Linked DNA regions of Caenorhabditis elegans. The protein of the gene in region 2 interacts with the protein of the main gene of each other region in a pairwise test. Each region holds a gene or a part of one and is shown on either strand. Other genes may lie near its edges.

Region 1 (8,795 bases), on a different chromosome or scaffold from region 2:
AACTTCCGTTTGAGACCCAAAATTGTGCGAAGCAGCGCGTGGAACCTGAAATTTAACAATTTTTTCTGATTTTTTAGATTAAAAATCGAGCCAAAACACCTAATTTTAGCTGAAAAACTCGAATTTTGTCTCACATTTTTTGCACATTTTTTGAACATTTTTTGTACATTTTTTGCACATTTTTTGAACATTTTTTGCACATTTTTTGAACATTTTTTGAACATTTTTTGTACATTTTTTGCACATTTTTTGAACATTTTTTGCACATTTTTTGCACATTTTTTGCGCATTTTTTGCACATTTTTTGCACATTTTTTTGCATATTTATTGCACATTTTTGCACAGTTATTGCACATTTTTGCACATTTTTTTGCATATTTTTGATAAATCCATATATCCTAACACTTTTTTTTTCTTCTTTTTCCGATTTTACAAGGTTTTTCGGAGAAAAAAAAATTTCTAATGAATATTTCAATATTTTCTAGACATTTTTTCTCTGAAAAACACTAAAAATCGAAAAAAAAACCCGATTTTCTGTATTTTTCAGGTAAAATTTTTAATACTGGAGAATCGAAAAACGGTAAAAAAGTAGATATTTCAGCTAAAATTAAGCGTTTTTTTTTTACGAAATCCGGTTTTTTAAAGCTATTTTGTGATGAAAATTTTTATCAACAAAAAAAAGAAGATTTTTTTTCCAAAAAAATAGTCAAAAATTAGAGATTTTAGCTAAAACTAGGCGTTTTTTTCTAATTTTTTTTTCACGAAATCCGTATTTTCTAGACCATTTTAAATATCAAAAAAAAACATAAAAATCAGTAATAAAAACGCCGTACCACTGGCATATTATAGACATTCTTGAGAATAAATTCGATATCCCGTGATTCAATTTTCTTCACCTCCCGATTCTTGATCATTTTGCATGCTTTATCGATTAGAGAACTGACAAAATCGTCGGCGTACTCCACAAGAACATCTTTTACATTTTCTTCGAGTACTGTTGTTGAGCTGATTTGTTGCATCAAATCATCCAGTTTTGACTGAAAAAAAAATTTTAAAAAAAAGAAGATTTTTTAAAATAAGAATTTTCGGTTTTTTCAGTGAAAATCAAAAAATCGGAAAAAAAAATTTTATAGAGTTTTTGAAAAAAAAAAACTACGAAAATTTTAGGCTATTTTTTTTTTTTTTTTTATTAATTGTTATAATTTTCGATTTTTTTGTTTGAAAATCTTGAAAATCGAAAATTTAAAATTTTTTAATTAGAAAATTAAACAAAAACTCTTAATTTTACAAGAATTTTTACAAGAAAAATTACCAAAAATTTAGGCATTTTTTTCAGTGAAAATTTAAAAATCGAATTTTTAATAGCAAATTTACAAAAAATTCCATTTTTAATTTCATTATTTTTTCAGGAGCAAAGCAAAAACTAGTGTATGCAGAAGTTCGAATTTTTTTCAAAGTTCAAAAAAAAATTTAAAAATTGTATTGAAAAATTGGAAATTTTCGTTTTTCGTTTAAAAAAAATCGAATTTTCAATAAATTCCGGCCATTTTTCAATACTTTATAGAAAAAAAAAATCACTTTTTTCAATAAAAATCAGCATATTTTTTGATAAATCTATAGCTTTTTCGTCCCCTTCCGTGAATTCTTTGTGCATTTTTTTTCCTATTTTCTCTGAAAAAAAAGACCGAAAAATCTGAAATTTGCTCATTTTCTATGAAAAGACAATCCAAAAAATTTTTTTTTTGCGAATTTTTGCTAGAGAAATTTGTAATTGAAAAAAAAACTAAAAAATCAGAAAATTTTTTAAATTTTCCTGAAAAAACCTGAATTTTTTTCGATTTTCTTTGAAAAAAAATCGGAAAATCTGAGCTTTATTCGATTTTTTCTGAAAAAATTTCAAAATTAAATAAAAATCAATTTTCCAAGTATTTTTGCCGGTTTTTTTGCCGAAATTTCCAAGTATTTTTGCCGGTTTTTTTGCCTAAATTTCCAAGTATTTTTGCCGGCTTTTTTGCCGAAATTTCCAAGTATTTTTGCCGATTTTTTTGCCGGAATTTCCAAGTATTTTTGCCGGTTTTTTTGCCGAAATTTCCAAGTATTTTTGCCGGTTTTTTTGCCTAAATTTCCAAGTATTTTTGCCGGTTTTTTTGCCGAAATTTCCAAGTATTTTTGCCGGTTTTTTTGCCGAAATTTCCAAGTATTTTTGCCGGTTTTTTTGCCTAAATTTCCAAGTATTTTTGCCGGTTTTTTTGCCGAAATTTCCAAGTATTTTTGCCGGTTTTTTTGCCTAAATTTCCAAGTATTTTTGCCGAAATTTTCAAGTATTTTTGCCGGTTTTTTTGCCGAAATTTCTAAGTATTTTTGCCGGTTTTTTGTTGCACCTTTTCCATAATACTTCCATACGGAACAGCGGCCGGTATCATTTGAGGTGGCGGTGCCTGTTGCTGTTGTGGCTGTGGAATTGGAGGCTGTTGAATTTGTTGAGATGGTGGTGGCTGCTGATGTTGCTGCTGATGTTGTACTTGCATAATTTGTTGAGGAGGCAGCGGCATTGGAGACGAGTTTGGCTGGAAATTTTGAAAAATTTTGCCCAAAACTAATGGTTTTTATAGTTTTTCCATTAAATCGGGCTCTTTTTGAGCTCCAAAAAATATTACGCCACGACAAATTTGGCGAATTTGCCGGTTTTTTACGAGCTCGATCGGTAAACGTTGCCTTTTTAGTTCCGGCAATTTGCCGATATGCCGGAAATTTTAATTCCGGCAATTTGCGGGAAAATTGAATTCCGACATTTTGCCGATTTTGTCGGAAATTTCAATTCCGGCAATTTGCCGATTTGCCGGAAATTTTAATTTCAGCAAATTGTCGATTTTGTCGGAAATTTCAATTCCGGCAATTTGCCGATTTTGTCGGAAATTTCAATTCCGGAAATTTGCCGATTTGCCGGAAATTTTAATTCCGGCAATTTACCGGTTTTGCCGGAAATTTCAATTCCGGCAATTTGCCGATTTGCCGGAAATTTCAATTCCGGCAATTTGCCGATTTTGCCGGAAACTCACCACAAATTGTGGTGGTCCACCACCTCCTTGCTGCTGCATCATATGTTGTGGCGGAGGCCCTCCGACCATTCCCATTAAATGTCCAGATGGTCCTGGCTGGAAACATTTTAAAATTAGAGGATTTTTAAGCGGATTTCCAAAAATAACTGCAGAAAAAGTCTTAAAAATGCCCAAAATATGCGAAAAAAAAATTTTTTTTTTGAAGAAATTATACAAGCCTTGAAATTTTCACCGCTGCTCCGCTGCTCCACTGCAGAAATTGTTTTGTAACATTTTTTAGAACAATTTTTCAGAGATTTTTGATCCCGTGGACCCAAATTCCCGAAAAAAGGTTTTTCTTGGGTCTCAAACGGAAGCTTTTTTTAAATTCAAATTTCCCAGATAATAACCGCCCCCGTACCCCTTGAGCCATGCCCATCTGCATTGGTCTCTGTTGCATTTGCATTGATTGCCCATTCGGTGTGAATTGTTGGGGCTGCTGCTGTTGTGGAATACCCATTTGTTGAAAGTGTTGCTGCTGCTGCTGCTGTGGTGGTGGAGGGCCCGCACGCATTTGTGGTGATGGGTATGGCATTTGGCGGACTAAAATTACGAATTATTTCATGAGAAGCCTTATTAAAGAGACGGTGTAGTCACCGAAAATATGAAGATTTTCGCTAGAATTAGGCGATTTTCGGAAATTCAGCATAATTGGAACATCGTCCAATCAGCGTACCGCTCCGCCCACTTCTGGACCAATCAGACGGAGTGGGCGGGGTTTGAAGATGCTGATTGGTAGGAAAATACTCGAAAATTGGTAAATTAAATATTTTAAAAAAGCGATTTTTAAAATGGAATTCTTTGAATTTTTTAAAAGCGATATCTACATTTACCCAAAGCCGCCTTAAATTACACCTAAATTAACGAAAAACGTGAAATAAATATGCAAATTAGGATGAAAATTGAATAAAAATCAATTTCTAGCCACCCTGGCACCGAAAAAATGGAGATTTTAGGCGATTTTCGGAATGTCTGGTAGATCATGGTGTGATCTGCAAAAAATGCGGGAATTTTTGGCCCAAAAAATGTGACGTCAGCACGTTCTTAACCATGCAAAATCAGTTGAGAACTCTGCCGCATTTTTTGTAGATCAACGTAGATCAAGCCGAAATGAGACACTCTGACACAATGTGTGGTTAGGAAATTTGAAAATTCAGCAAAATTAAAACAGCGACCAATCAGCGACCGGCTCCGCCCACTTTTGGACCAATCAGACGGAGTGGGCGGAGAGCTAATTTTAGTAAAATTTGAAAATCACGATTTTTTTTCCGTTTTTTTTGTGGTTTTTCTGAATTTGAAACTATTTTTTTTGGATATTTTTAAAGGTGGTGTAGTCGAATGTTTTTATTTGCTTTATTAGACTCAAAATTGTCTGAAAACACCGAATTTCATAGTGAAACTGTTTGAAAACTTCTCAAAAAATAAGTTATGACGGTTCAAAAAATGACCTAAAATTAGTTAAAATTTGAAATTTTACCGACTAGCCAAGCGTCTGGAAACAATTTTTCGAAATCACCGTCAAATTTTAAGTATACAATTTAATTATCTTGCGTTTTCAACTTCATTTAAGTATTTTAAAGTCGATGGACGGCGAGATTTGGTTTTAAAAAATTTAAAAATCTCGTCGTCCATCGATTTTTAAATACCTTAATCAAATTTAAAACACAAGGTAATTAACTTATATACTCAAAATTTGACGGTGATTTCAAAAAAAAATGTTTCCAGCCGCTGCGACATTGATAAGTTGGTCAAATTTCAAACTTTAACTAATTTTAGGTCATTTTTTGAGCCGTCATAACTTATTTTTTGAGAAGTTTTCAAAAAGTTTCACTATGAAATTCGGTGTTTTCAGACAATTTTGAGTCTAATAAAGCAAATAAAAACATTCGACTACACCACCTTTAAAAATATCCAAAAAATAGTTTCAAATTCAGAAAAACCACAAAAAAAAACGGAAAAAAATCGTTAAAAAAATTTAAAAATCTCGCCGTCCATTGATTTTTAAATACCTAAATCAAGTTGAAAATGCAAGAAATGCACTAATTTTAGGCCATTTTTTGAGCCATCATAACTTTTTCCTGAAAAGTTTTCAAGAAGTTTCATTATTAAATTCGATGTTTTCAGACAATTTTGAGTCTAATACAGCAATAAAAAAAAAATTCAACTACACTCTCTTTAAAAATATCCAAAAATACATTAAAATTCAGAAAAACCACAAAAAAAAAAACGGAGAAAATCGCGATTACAAACTCCGCCCACTCCGTCTGATTAGTCCAAAAGTGGGCGGAGCCGGTCGCTGATTGGTCGCTGTTCCAATTTTGCTGAATTTCCGAATTTCCTAACCACACATTGTGTCAGAGTGTCTCATTTCGGCTTGATCTACGTTGATCTACAAAAAATGCGGCAGAGTTCTCAACTGATTTTGCATGGTTAAGAACATGCTGACGTCACATTTTTTTGGGCCAAAAATTCCCGCATTTTTTGTAGATCACACCATGATCTACCAGACATTCCGAAAATCGCCTAATTCTAGCGAAAATCTCCATTTTTTCGGTGCCAGGGTGGCTAGAAATTGATTTTTATTCAATTTTCATCCTAATTTGCATATTTATTTCACGTTTTTCGTTAATTTAGGTGTAATTTAAGGCGGCTTTGTGTAAATGTAGATATCGCTTTTAAAAAATTCAAAGAATTCCATTTTAAAAATCGCTTTTTTTAAATATTTAATTTACCAATTTTCGAGTATTTTCCTACCAATCAGCATCTTCAAACTCCGCCCAATCTACCTGATTGGTCGAAAAGTGGGCGGAGCGAATCGCTGATTGCTCAGGCATTTCTCATTTTGGAGGTAATTCGAAAAATCATGTTTTTCGAGTTAACTTTTTCACTTTTTCGCGATTTTTTTCTTTTTTCTTCGGAAAAAACGTAAAATAGCCGACTAAAATAGGCGGAATAGGACAAAATTGGAGATTTCAGCTAAATTTTGAGCAATTTTTTTTTCATTTTTCACGGAATTATTTCTGAATTTGAGGCATTTTTTAGGAGTTTTTTCTTCATACTTTGCTGCTGTGGCATCTGCATTCTCATCGGGCCGCCCATTCCACCCATCGGCGGTTGGCCCACAAACTGCTGCTGCTGCTGCTGTTCGTTGGGATTCTGATGGCCTTGTGGCGGAATTCCCTGCTGCATTGGCTGAAAATGTGGGTGATAGACGTGATATCCATGATGGTAGGGCCACATTTTTTAGTATTAGTAAATATATATATATATATGGACAGAGGACGACGAGAAGCTTTTGTGATGGAAATGGTTTTGTCGGGGGAAGAAGAGAAGCACAATCGATATGAGAATAATACACATACACTTTGGACGTTTACGGGGGAAAAAAAACGGAGAGGCGCTCCGATTTTTTATTATTTTTATTCGTTTTTTTTGTTTTTTTTTTGTCGGCTGGCCGGTGAGTCATTGTTGGGACAGAAAGCAATAATTAGAGAGCGGACACACAAATCGCTTACAGAATTCGTGGAGAGAGCGGCGGCGATTTGCGGGTTCGCCTGCACGATTACGTGATTATTCGGTGAAGTTGGAGGTGAGAATTCTTCCATTTTCATTTTTTATCTGCAACTAAGTTTTTTTTTGATGATTTTAAAGCTTAAAATCTTTCGGAAAACCGAGGAAAATGGAAATATATTCATAAAAATGAATAAATTCGTTAAATTCGATAAATTTTCCACAGTACCTCGGTCGTTGTGAGACCCAATGTTAAACAAAAGCATTGCGCCTTTAAAGTTATACGGTGAAACTTTTCAAGCAATTTCTATTTTTTTCCGAATTTTTAGTTGCTAATTATTATTTTTGATTAAATATTACGAGAAAAATTTTAATTTTGAAGAATTTCTTCAAATAAAGTTTAAAAAACCGAGGAAAAGTCAAAATTAATAACTGAAACTCGGTTCGCTGTGAGACCCAAACTTAAAAATAGCAATGCGCCTTTAAACTTATACGGTTGTATTTTTAGGCAATTTAAAGTGAATTTATGTTTTTTCCAGAATTATAGTTGCTAGCTATTATTAATTTTAAAACCGAGTGAAAATTTTAACTTTGAGAATTTTCTTTTAAAAAAAACCAAGGAAAAATCAAAATTAATGACTGAAACTCGGTTCGCTGTGAGACCCAAAGTTAAACAACAGCAATGCGCCTTTAAAGTGATACGGTGGCGATTTTCAAGCAATTTAAAATCAAATTGAATTTATTGGAAAAAATCAATGAAAAAGACCTAAACTAATAAATATTCAAAGTTTTATTCTCGAATTGCACATAATATTATGCGCCGAAACCTCGTAAAATTAGGCAGATTCTGATATAAGGGAAAAACGATCCGAAAAATGTAGGACATTGGGGGAATAGAGACGTAGGGGGTGGTGGCGAGAAATTGAGGCCAATGAAGAGAACGAGAGACCTCTCTAGCTCTTTTCCGTCTCTTCTCGCAACTATCTCTCTCTCTCTCTCACTAGTGTGGTTTATTAGAACCTAAATGAGCGTGGCCGTGGGAAAACCTAGGCCACGCCGTTGCGAGGAAGTGCAAGTAAACAGAAAAAAGACGACGGCGGACGTCTTATAAAAACAAACATGTCACATTTTGTTGTCCACTCTGTCATTATTTTGCGAAAGAATTGGGATCGAATTGGGAAGTACATTTTTGGGTCTCGCCGCGATTGTTTTCTTTAATTGAATATAACTGTACCATGTGATCACTGGAAATGGAAAAACATATTTTATCTAACATTGGTTGAGGAAAAGGCAATAAAAACAATTAAAATATCGAGTTATTACAGTACACCGAGGTTTAAAGGCGCATGAGGGTTTTGAAAAGTCAAAGTAAAACTGGATATTAGCGTAAAATTTTGTTCGGTCATAATCGAGTATATTCGTAAAGTTAAAAAAAAATTTGGGTGTTTGGTTTTAAAATAATGTTTTTTTGAAAATTGAGTTTTTACTAAATTTCAGCTAAAGAAAAACTTGAATTTTAGTCGAATTTTGAACGGTGGGTAATAATTTTTTGTGTTTATATTATTATTCAGACATCAGTAAGTAAATTGGTAAAGTTTGAAAAAAATTTGGGTGTTTGGTTTCGAAGAAAATAATTTTTTGAAAATTTGAATTTTTATTCATTTTCAGCTAAACTAAAACTGAAATTTCAGACAAATTTCGAACGGTGGGTATTAATTTTTTGTGTTTATATTATTATTCAAAGATCAATTAGTATATTGGTGAAGTTTTAAAAAATTTGTGTGATTGGTTTTGAATAAAATAATTTTTTTGAAAATTGGAATACATATTAATTGGGAGCTAAACTAAAACTGGAATTTCAGTCAGATTTTGAACGGTGGGTATTAATTTTTTGTGCTTATATTATTATTCAGACATCGGTTAGTATAATCGGTTAGTAGATTGGTAGTTAAAAAAAATTTGGGTGTTTGGTTTTGAAGAAAATAATTTTTTGAAATTTGTAATATGTTCATCGGCAATGGCTGGTGGCCTAGAATTTCCCAATTAGGCCATCAAATCTGAAATTAAAAAAGCACATATTCAGCTGTAAAATAATTTATTCAACGTGTTTTTCTTCACAAATCACAGAAAATATTCAAGATTAAATGGGCTAGATGTTGACAACGACGAAAATAAGATTAAAACCAG
Region 2 (7,083 bases):
TGCGAAATGCCAAATAAAAATAGGAAATTCTCATTGTACAATATTAAATCTATCAGAAACTGATAAAATTTGTACGGAATGTACGAATAAAAATGGGCGACGAACAAATGCAAACGTGTTTCTTCTTTGGAAAAAATGCCATGCTGGAAGAACACGCAGCGCCACCGCGACGCGTCCAAAGGCATTCAGAACACAATTTTGAAAACGTTTTTTTCTCTTGCAAATCTTTGTTTTTTTTTACTCTTCTGAAAATATACTTTCTCACTTGCTTCTCAAACTTTTTTACTAAAATTAAAAAAAAACAATATTTATAAATATTGCAAAACACAAAATAGATATCTCTTATGTATGTTACTACTATTTATCCGCATCTTGATTTATGTCTGCTCCGTCATTTTTGTTCTGTTTTCTTTTAGTTTTCCCTCGAATTCATGAACATAAGCCTTGTATTAGTAATGAACTAAAAAAGATCCATTAATCAGGATTTCAATAAGAATTCATTATTAGTCTTATGTGTATGAAATAAATCAGATCATTGGTGTCAATTTTGAGAAACTTTGCGTGATGAAAAAGCTCAATATAGAAGTGGGTAGAATAACAAGCTATAAAAATAATACATTCAGACCAGTGTGCTTAGGTAATTGTAACAATCCTCGCGGTAGACGTGCCCACAAGAATGATTTGCCCAGAAATAGAGGGTTTTCACGGCGAAGCAAGTGGCAAGAAAGACGGCGGAAGATCCTAAAGTAATCGATACACATTTTGAGGCCAAACTTCGCGATGGGTCAATTGAGACTGTGAGCATTAGCACTGAAAATATTAGAATTGCAGAGTTGTTTCTTGTATTCTAGCGAATTCATTCTTTTGAATTTTTATAATCGCGTATGAATAGTATTTAAGAAACTCACCGATCACGAAGACTATTATTGATGCGAACCAAAACGAGAATGCCACAATTCTTAAAAAGCTGGTTGATTTGATGTATCGAAGTGCCCTGTAATGTTAAAATGTTCAAGCTATTTAATGTGAAACTTTTGAAAAGCACTAACACATCAATATCATCCGGTTGTTGTGTCTGTTTTACTATCTTCATCAGGAATAGTAATTGAAGAGCAGACACAAAGAATGCCAGAATCGACAGAATCACGATTGCCACGTCGAATGAGGCGATGACATCCCGAATGACATCGATTACTCCTCGATATGCCGATGCCGGTGATTTTGCGGTGCGAAGAAATCGTTCGGCATTTGAAAAGTGGAATTGTAGAGCAACAACGGTGAATAATGCCGAGCAAACTGACATGAAGAGGAGGAGAAGCATATTCCAGTGAACCTAAACACAATTTCATGCATAGAAAGATTGAAAAAAACTTTTCTTACCGTTTTTCGGTCCATTACTCGGTTTTCGCTGTTCAAATCGAGAACTGATGGGTGACTATCGCTAACTTGTCCCCCAGCTCCGCTATATGTTCCAGTAGTTCCAATTCCCTTCCCACCACCACATGATACTGAATATCTCATCGATATTGGCGAGTTTTGAGCCTAAAAATAAATTATAAAGTATGAGAAAAATTCCGATTTAAAAATTACCATAAGGGATTCGTGATTTAATGTGGTCGGTATGTGGAACCCACGTCTGGGTGTTGAAGATGTAACCATTTCTAAAAAAACAAGTATTGTGGCCGGAAAAAAAGCAATCTAACTTTTTTTGCCAAGCTCGAGATAACGACAAAAAACGTTTCTTTTTAACAACGAAAAGTTTTTTATTACAAAGGCACACAGAGGGAGCAATCAGTGTTCGCCGAATGCACCAATCGGACCACTGAAGAATGAGCCGCATAAGTTTTTGTGTAAGGATGCGAACGGGGAGAGATTCTCGAAAGAGTCTATCACCAGGTGGTGGCATTTGAAAAAGATACAAGAAGAGATCATAATGAGATGCAATATGCCGAAACGCTAGGAAAGAAATACCAATTTTTTAAAGATTAATTTGGTTTTTTCGAGGAAACAAGAAAAATTGGCGAATAAAAACTGAAATTCGAAATGTCGTGATATTCAGTGCCTCTAGTGCATGCAGAATCAAAAATTTTAAACAATTTTGTTGTACATTGTACAATTTTTGTTTCAGCCCACAAAATAAATTTAAAAATAGAAATACCTTTTCAATATTGGTTCTGAAAATTTTATTTACACTTATTTTTAAAAACCCCTCAAGGTGGGATTCTGTTTTAGGAAAAAAACAAAAAATTTACTGCATTAGGAATGAACATACCCTGTCTGCGCATTATGATTGATTTTCTCTTCCCATTATTCTCATTTTCAAACCATTGTCACCTCTTCCCACTCTGAACCACTCATGCGATCGATAATCTTTTCCAATTATGTTATGTTCGTGTTTTAACCGTTATGTTCAAACTTTGCTCAATTTTCTCAATTATTTAAATTTTTAGTGAAGATTTTCAGTGATAAACGTCATTCATCCCGAACACTTCAGAGAATCAATGGAAAATGAGTGCTGGTTAGTGTTTTTAATGCAAAATGAGAAATAAACTAGAGAATAAGTAGGCAACTTCGGCAGCGGAATTGGAGTTGTTTAGAAATTTTTGGGAAAAGCGATACCGATGTAATATGATATTCTATTAAATAACTGCCAGATAGTCGAGTGATGTTAAAATTTGATTTGATTAATAATTAATTCTAGAATAGAATATCAGAAATTACATTGTCCTTTTAAAAATCTTGAAAAACCAATTAAAACATTCAGAATACGGTCAGTACGGATACTATGGAGGTGCTGGAGGTGCCCAGACAACAACAACTCCTGCTGCCGCATTGGCTGCATCAATACCCGCAACTTCAGTTTACGGAGAGCAAAGACCAACATTCTCAGAAGATGGAACTGGTGCTCCATACAGCACTATTCTTAATCTGTTAGTTTTCTTTTTAATACATTAAAATTCGTTTCAAAACTGTCTTGTTTAAAATTAATTGGATTAGCCGAATCACGTTAAGTAAACTTACTTAAGATTTAAGAAGAACTAAATGAGATGCAAGACCGGGACCGAAAAACAAAAATTTGAAATTTGTAAAAAAACACCGAATTTCGATTTATTTGGAACTTTTTAGAAAAAAATTATTGAAAACCATGAAAAACCACATTTTGCTAAAGCATATTTGTAAAATATGAAAATTGTTTGAAGTACGTAAAGGGTTTTTTGGTTTAAAAAAAACCAAAAAATAGATTTTTCGTTAAAAACAAAAAAAAATCAGCTTCGTCAGCGTAATCCTAAAAACTTTCAGAGTTGGAAGCGCAGCGGTAAACAGCGATATCAGTTATGATACATCATCTAAGGATCCTCATATGATCAGGTACGAAAATAAATGTTTTGAACGTAAATTTGATAAATGAAATAAGAAAATGAGAGAAAAGAACGGAAAAAATGCAAGAAAGGTCGTGGGAAAGTAAACATTTTTGAAGCAAAAGACCGACACAAAGTGACCATGAAAGAGTAAAGAGAATAGAGAGAAAATGGGGATTTATTCATTTTCCAGAGTAAACATAACTGCACACAAAGTTAAAGAATATGTTATATAAATTATCGAACGAAAAATCGTGTATCGTTTTAGTTTTTATAATGATTTTTTACAGAGCTCGTGTTTTCATTGGAAACATTGCCCGTGCTATTATCACGCGTGACGATATCATCGAACTGTTCCGTCCATTTGGAAAAATAATTGCTGTTAATTATTTTGCTGTAAGTTAATTCCTGAATATTCAATAGCCACCGCAAAGTCCGAGTTTATTGATGACATAACTTTGAATTCACTTTTTTGCCGGAAAATAAATTCCTGATTTTTCAGCAACAAGGTTTCGGATTTGTTCAATTCAATGAAGCTGGTAGTGCCGACGAGTCATGCCGTTCACTCAATGGGATGTCATGGAAAGCTTGTTGTCTTGGTAAGGACCTGAATCTGAATATAATTTTTCTCCAAATGCAACCAAAATTAAAAATCGGCGAATTTTGCAGCTCAAATAGCTTCTCGTCTGAAAGCTTTTTATTTCAACTTTTTTCATAATTTCTTTTACCTTTTCTTATTTTCGGTTTTCATTAGAAACATTTTCGAAGTTACTTTTTATTCGATTTATACAGTTTTTAAAATTTGTTTATTTTTATTTATGTGTCCCCGATTTCAGATGTTCATTTGGCAATGTTGGGCTCATTGAGAAAGCCAACTGGAAACGAGGGTCGCCAAGGAAATACTATTGCTCCGGCCCCACTTCCTGTTGGGAAACCGTTGACACAACATGCTGTCGATACTTCCGCGCAAAGGTTCATCATTTTGGGTTTTTTATTCTTTTTATTTTTCATTTCGAAATAGTTTTGAGGATTATGGTTTTTAAAAGTTATAGCGAATTATTTCATTTTTTCTCCTTTCATTATATTTTCCTTCTAAAGAAAAACGTTATAATGCGATGGCGTTTCACTCTTTGTGTAAGTTGGATTGTTACTGCGGTGTGCTCAGTTTTCAAAAAAAAAAAATTCGAATTTCGAGGACAAACTCGAACTTTGGATAAATCATGAAATTTGAAAAGGGAAAGCGATTTTCGCTGAACGTTGAAACCATTTAATACGGTTCTTTCATACCCCTGGTACCAACAATATTAATTTTTGTATTTTCAGCGCCAAACGCCCCTATGAAGACGAGGAGTACGAGATCTTCAAGCAGAACAAAAGAAATAAGCAGTTTGCAAATGGAGATACAACTATCAATGAGCAGTTGGCACCGAATGGTGAGAGTTTAAAACTTAAAAAATTTATTGGGTTTGGAAACATTGGTTTCAAATTTTTCAACAAGTTTTTGATGAAATTATATATTTTTCTGTTGATTGAATCAAAAAATCAAAGTATCCGCCAAAACCAGAGAAATTAAATTCATATTTAAAATTGATATTTTTTCCAGTAAGAAACGAATAGGTTAAACATTTTTAATTTACAGAAATGTGCGACACAATGGTGTGTGGATATTGCCGTTTCGTGACAAGTGATTTTGAAGAGTTCAAGGAACATCGAATCGCTGGCTGTAATAAATACAAGGATCCAGGTGGGATTTAATTTCATACTGTTTCATTTGTTAACTTGATACTTAAAAAAACGTTGTATATAGATTGAAGTATGAAATTCAATTCTTAGTTATCTCTCTACTTGAATACTTCATCTCAATAATTTGTTTTCCAGAAGAACCACGACATCGTCTCAAATGTGCCACTTGTAGTCAGAGATTCCTCGGCGCGTGGGGACTTCTCGAACATTTAACCGATTTTCATCGTATGCTGCTCTATACTGAAGAGAAGATGACGGTATGTTTAGAGTTTTAAGAATAACTATATCATGTGAATATGTGAACGTTATGAGCAACCAAATAGTGGAGGATAAATTTTTATATTTTTGGACAGATAATTTAGAACTTTTTTCTATGAACAGTTTGTATGAAAAACATAAGAATGTGTTCATAAATCGATTTTAATTAACAAATTTTCAGCCAAATGATCTTGCTCAAATGCGTGGTGGATCCGTTTCAACGCCATCTTCGATTCCAGAAACTCCAGCTTCTGGTTCTGCGGCTCCTGCTGCTCCAAATTCAGCCAACTCCACACCATCTCACCATATCGTCGAAGGCGCGCCATTGTCCTACTCGTCGAATAATGGAACTCCCCAAATCTAAATATTTTTGCTAAATCCTGTTGAAATCATACCTGAATCTCAATTTTCCCATTTATCTATCTACTACTTTTTTGTTGTAAACGCTTATACATTTTTGTGAACTTTTATTTATCAATCTCTGAAGTTTTATTTTTGCTTTAAACAGACACTAGAAAGTTTGAATACGCAGGTAGCACAAGCTCCTATTACCTTGTTCAATTTTTTAAAAGTCATCTGATTTAATTTTTTAACAATTATTCAAGAAAGTGTTTACAATCAAACTGTGGAAAGCTAAATTTATTTAGAATCTCCTTGAAGTTTGTGCAAACCCTAAAAGAAAACGCTTTTCTTTTAAAATGAGCTTCTTACATAGTTCTTCAAGTTAACATTAATACTGTTTCGTAATTGATGCTTCGTTGTCTCTCACAGATGGGTCAATGTTTTAATGTATCATCGATGACACAGCTTTCCGTCTCTGTCACCTAAATAAAAACCATCGAATCAAAAGAACCGGTTGATGGGTTTCAATGTCCCCCATCACTACTGACTAACCACAACAAATACGATTTGATTCGTCGGTTTGAGAAATATATTTATTTTTTTCCGTTATACCCAATTCCCTTGGTTTGCTCACTAGCATAATATGAAAATATTTTTCTGACGAACCCCCAAAAAAAAAACGAAATTTAGTTACGCTTGTTTGCCACCTTCTTGATTGTCACTGCGTTTTCGCGCCAAATTCCGAATTCAAAAATTGAATTTTTCGAAACTGATAGATTTGGTCAATACTCACTTTTTGTCTAAAAGCGAAAAACAAATAAGTATTTAAATATAATCTTCAAAATATTTTCATATTTGGGGGAAATTAAAAATTGATAATTTTTTAAAAGTAAAATAAACTTAACGTTAAAAGCGACGATGAGTATTCATTAATTGACATAGAAGTATGTAATAATACTAGTTTTTATTGCTATATGGCATACGGTATACCTGCCTAGGCGAATTCCCCCACACATTTATTCAAGAATACGAGATACTCACATTTGTAGTGTCTCTGAAGCTCAATGAAACACGTATTTTAAATGTTAAGTGAAGTATTTTCAGTAGCTGTCACTCTTCTCATTTTCCTATTTCTCCCTATTTATTTGTGTCGGCTTCTCTTCGTCTCTCGCTTTTTTTTGACAACAATCGATTCTTTTTACACTGTTTTTTCTGTCGCCCATCGTTTTTTGTTTACTTTTTGTTGTGGCGAAGAGATTATGAGGTGGCTTTCGATTCTTGTTCTCGCTTTGTTTTTTTGGGTGAGACAAAAAACTTTCGTGTGAATTGAGAACTTCTAAAGATTGAATTGAATATTCAAAAAGAAAACTCTAGGAAACGT

What was found. Proteins that work in one complex are often made in the same cells at the same time.
Region 1: the proteins of hrpc-1 (region 2) and taf-12 interact in a two-hybrid assay, tested with the Caenorhabditis elegans proteins (one large-scale study listed by BioGRID).

Annotation. Positions count from the first base shown.
Region 1 is NC_003281.10:11,862,566-11,871,360, forward strand, and holds the start of taf-12 (Transcription initiation factor TFIID subunit 12), read right to left. Parts: upstream 6,717-8,795; 5' UTR 6,710-6,716; coding exon 6,614-6,709; intron 6,291-6,613; coding exon 6,158-6,290; intron 3,642-6,157; coding exon 3,460-3,641; intron 3,156-3,459; coding exon 3,060-3,155; intron 2,568-3,059; coding exon 2,382-2,567; intron 1,038-2,381; coding exon 834-1,037; intron 46-833; coding exon 1-45. UniProt on the Caenorhabditis elegans protein: Part of the general transcription factor complex TFIID. Plays a role in recruiting taf-4 to the nucleus and thereby activating transcription initiation by RNA polymerase II, as part of the TFIID complex.
Region 2 is NC_003279.8:6,923,801-6,930,883, forward strand, and holds hrpc-1 (RRM domain-containing protein), read left to right. Parts: upstream 1-2,456; 5' UTR 2,457-2,508; coding exon 2,509-2,518; intron 2,519-2,764; coding exon 2,765-2,930; intron 2,931-3,300; coding exon 3,301-3,369; intron 3,370-3,649; coding exon 3,650-3,755; intron 3,756-3,861; coding exon 3,862-3,958; intron 3,959-4,195; coding exon 4,196-4,331; intron 4,332-4,682; coding exon 4,683-4,792; intron 4,793-4,998; coding exon 4,999-5,103; intron 5,104-5,237; coding exon 5,238-5,359; intron 5,360-5,541; coding exon 5,542-5,724; 3' UTR 5,725-5,865; downstream 5,866-7,083. Other genes in the region: C48B6.9 (uncharacterized protein), read right to left, coding at 620-810, 909-994, 1,050-1,333, 1,381-1,542, 1,591-1,659.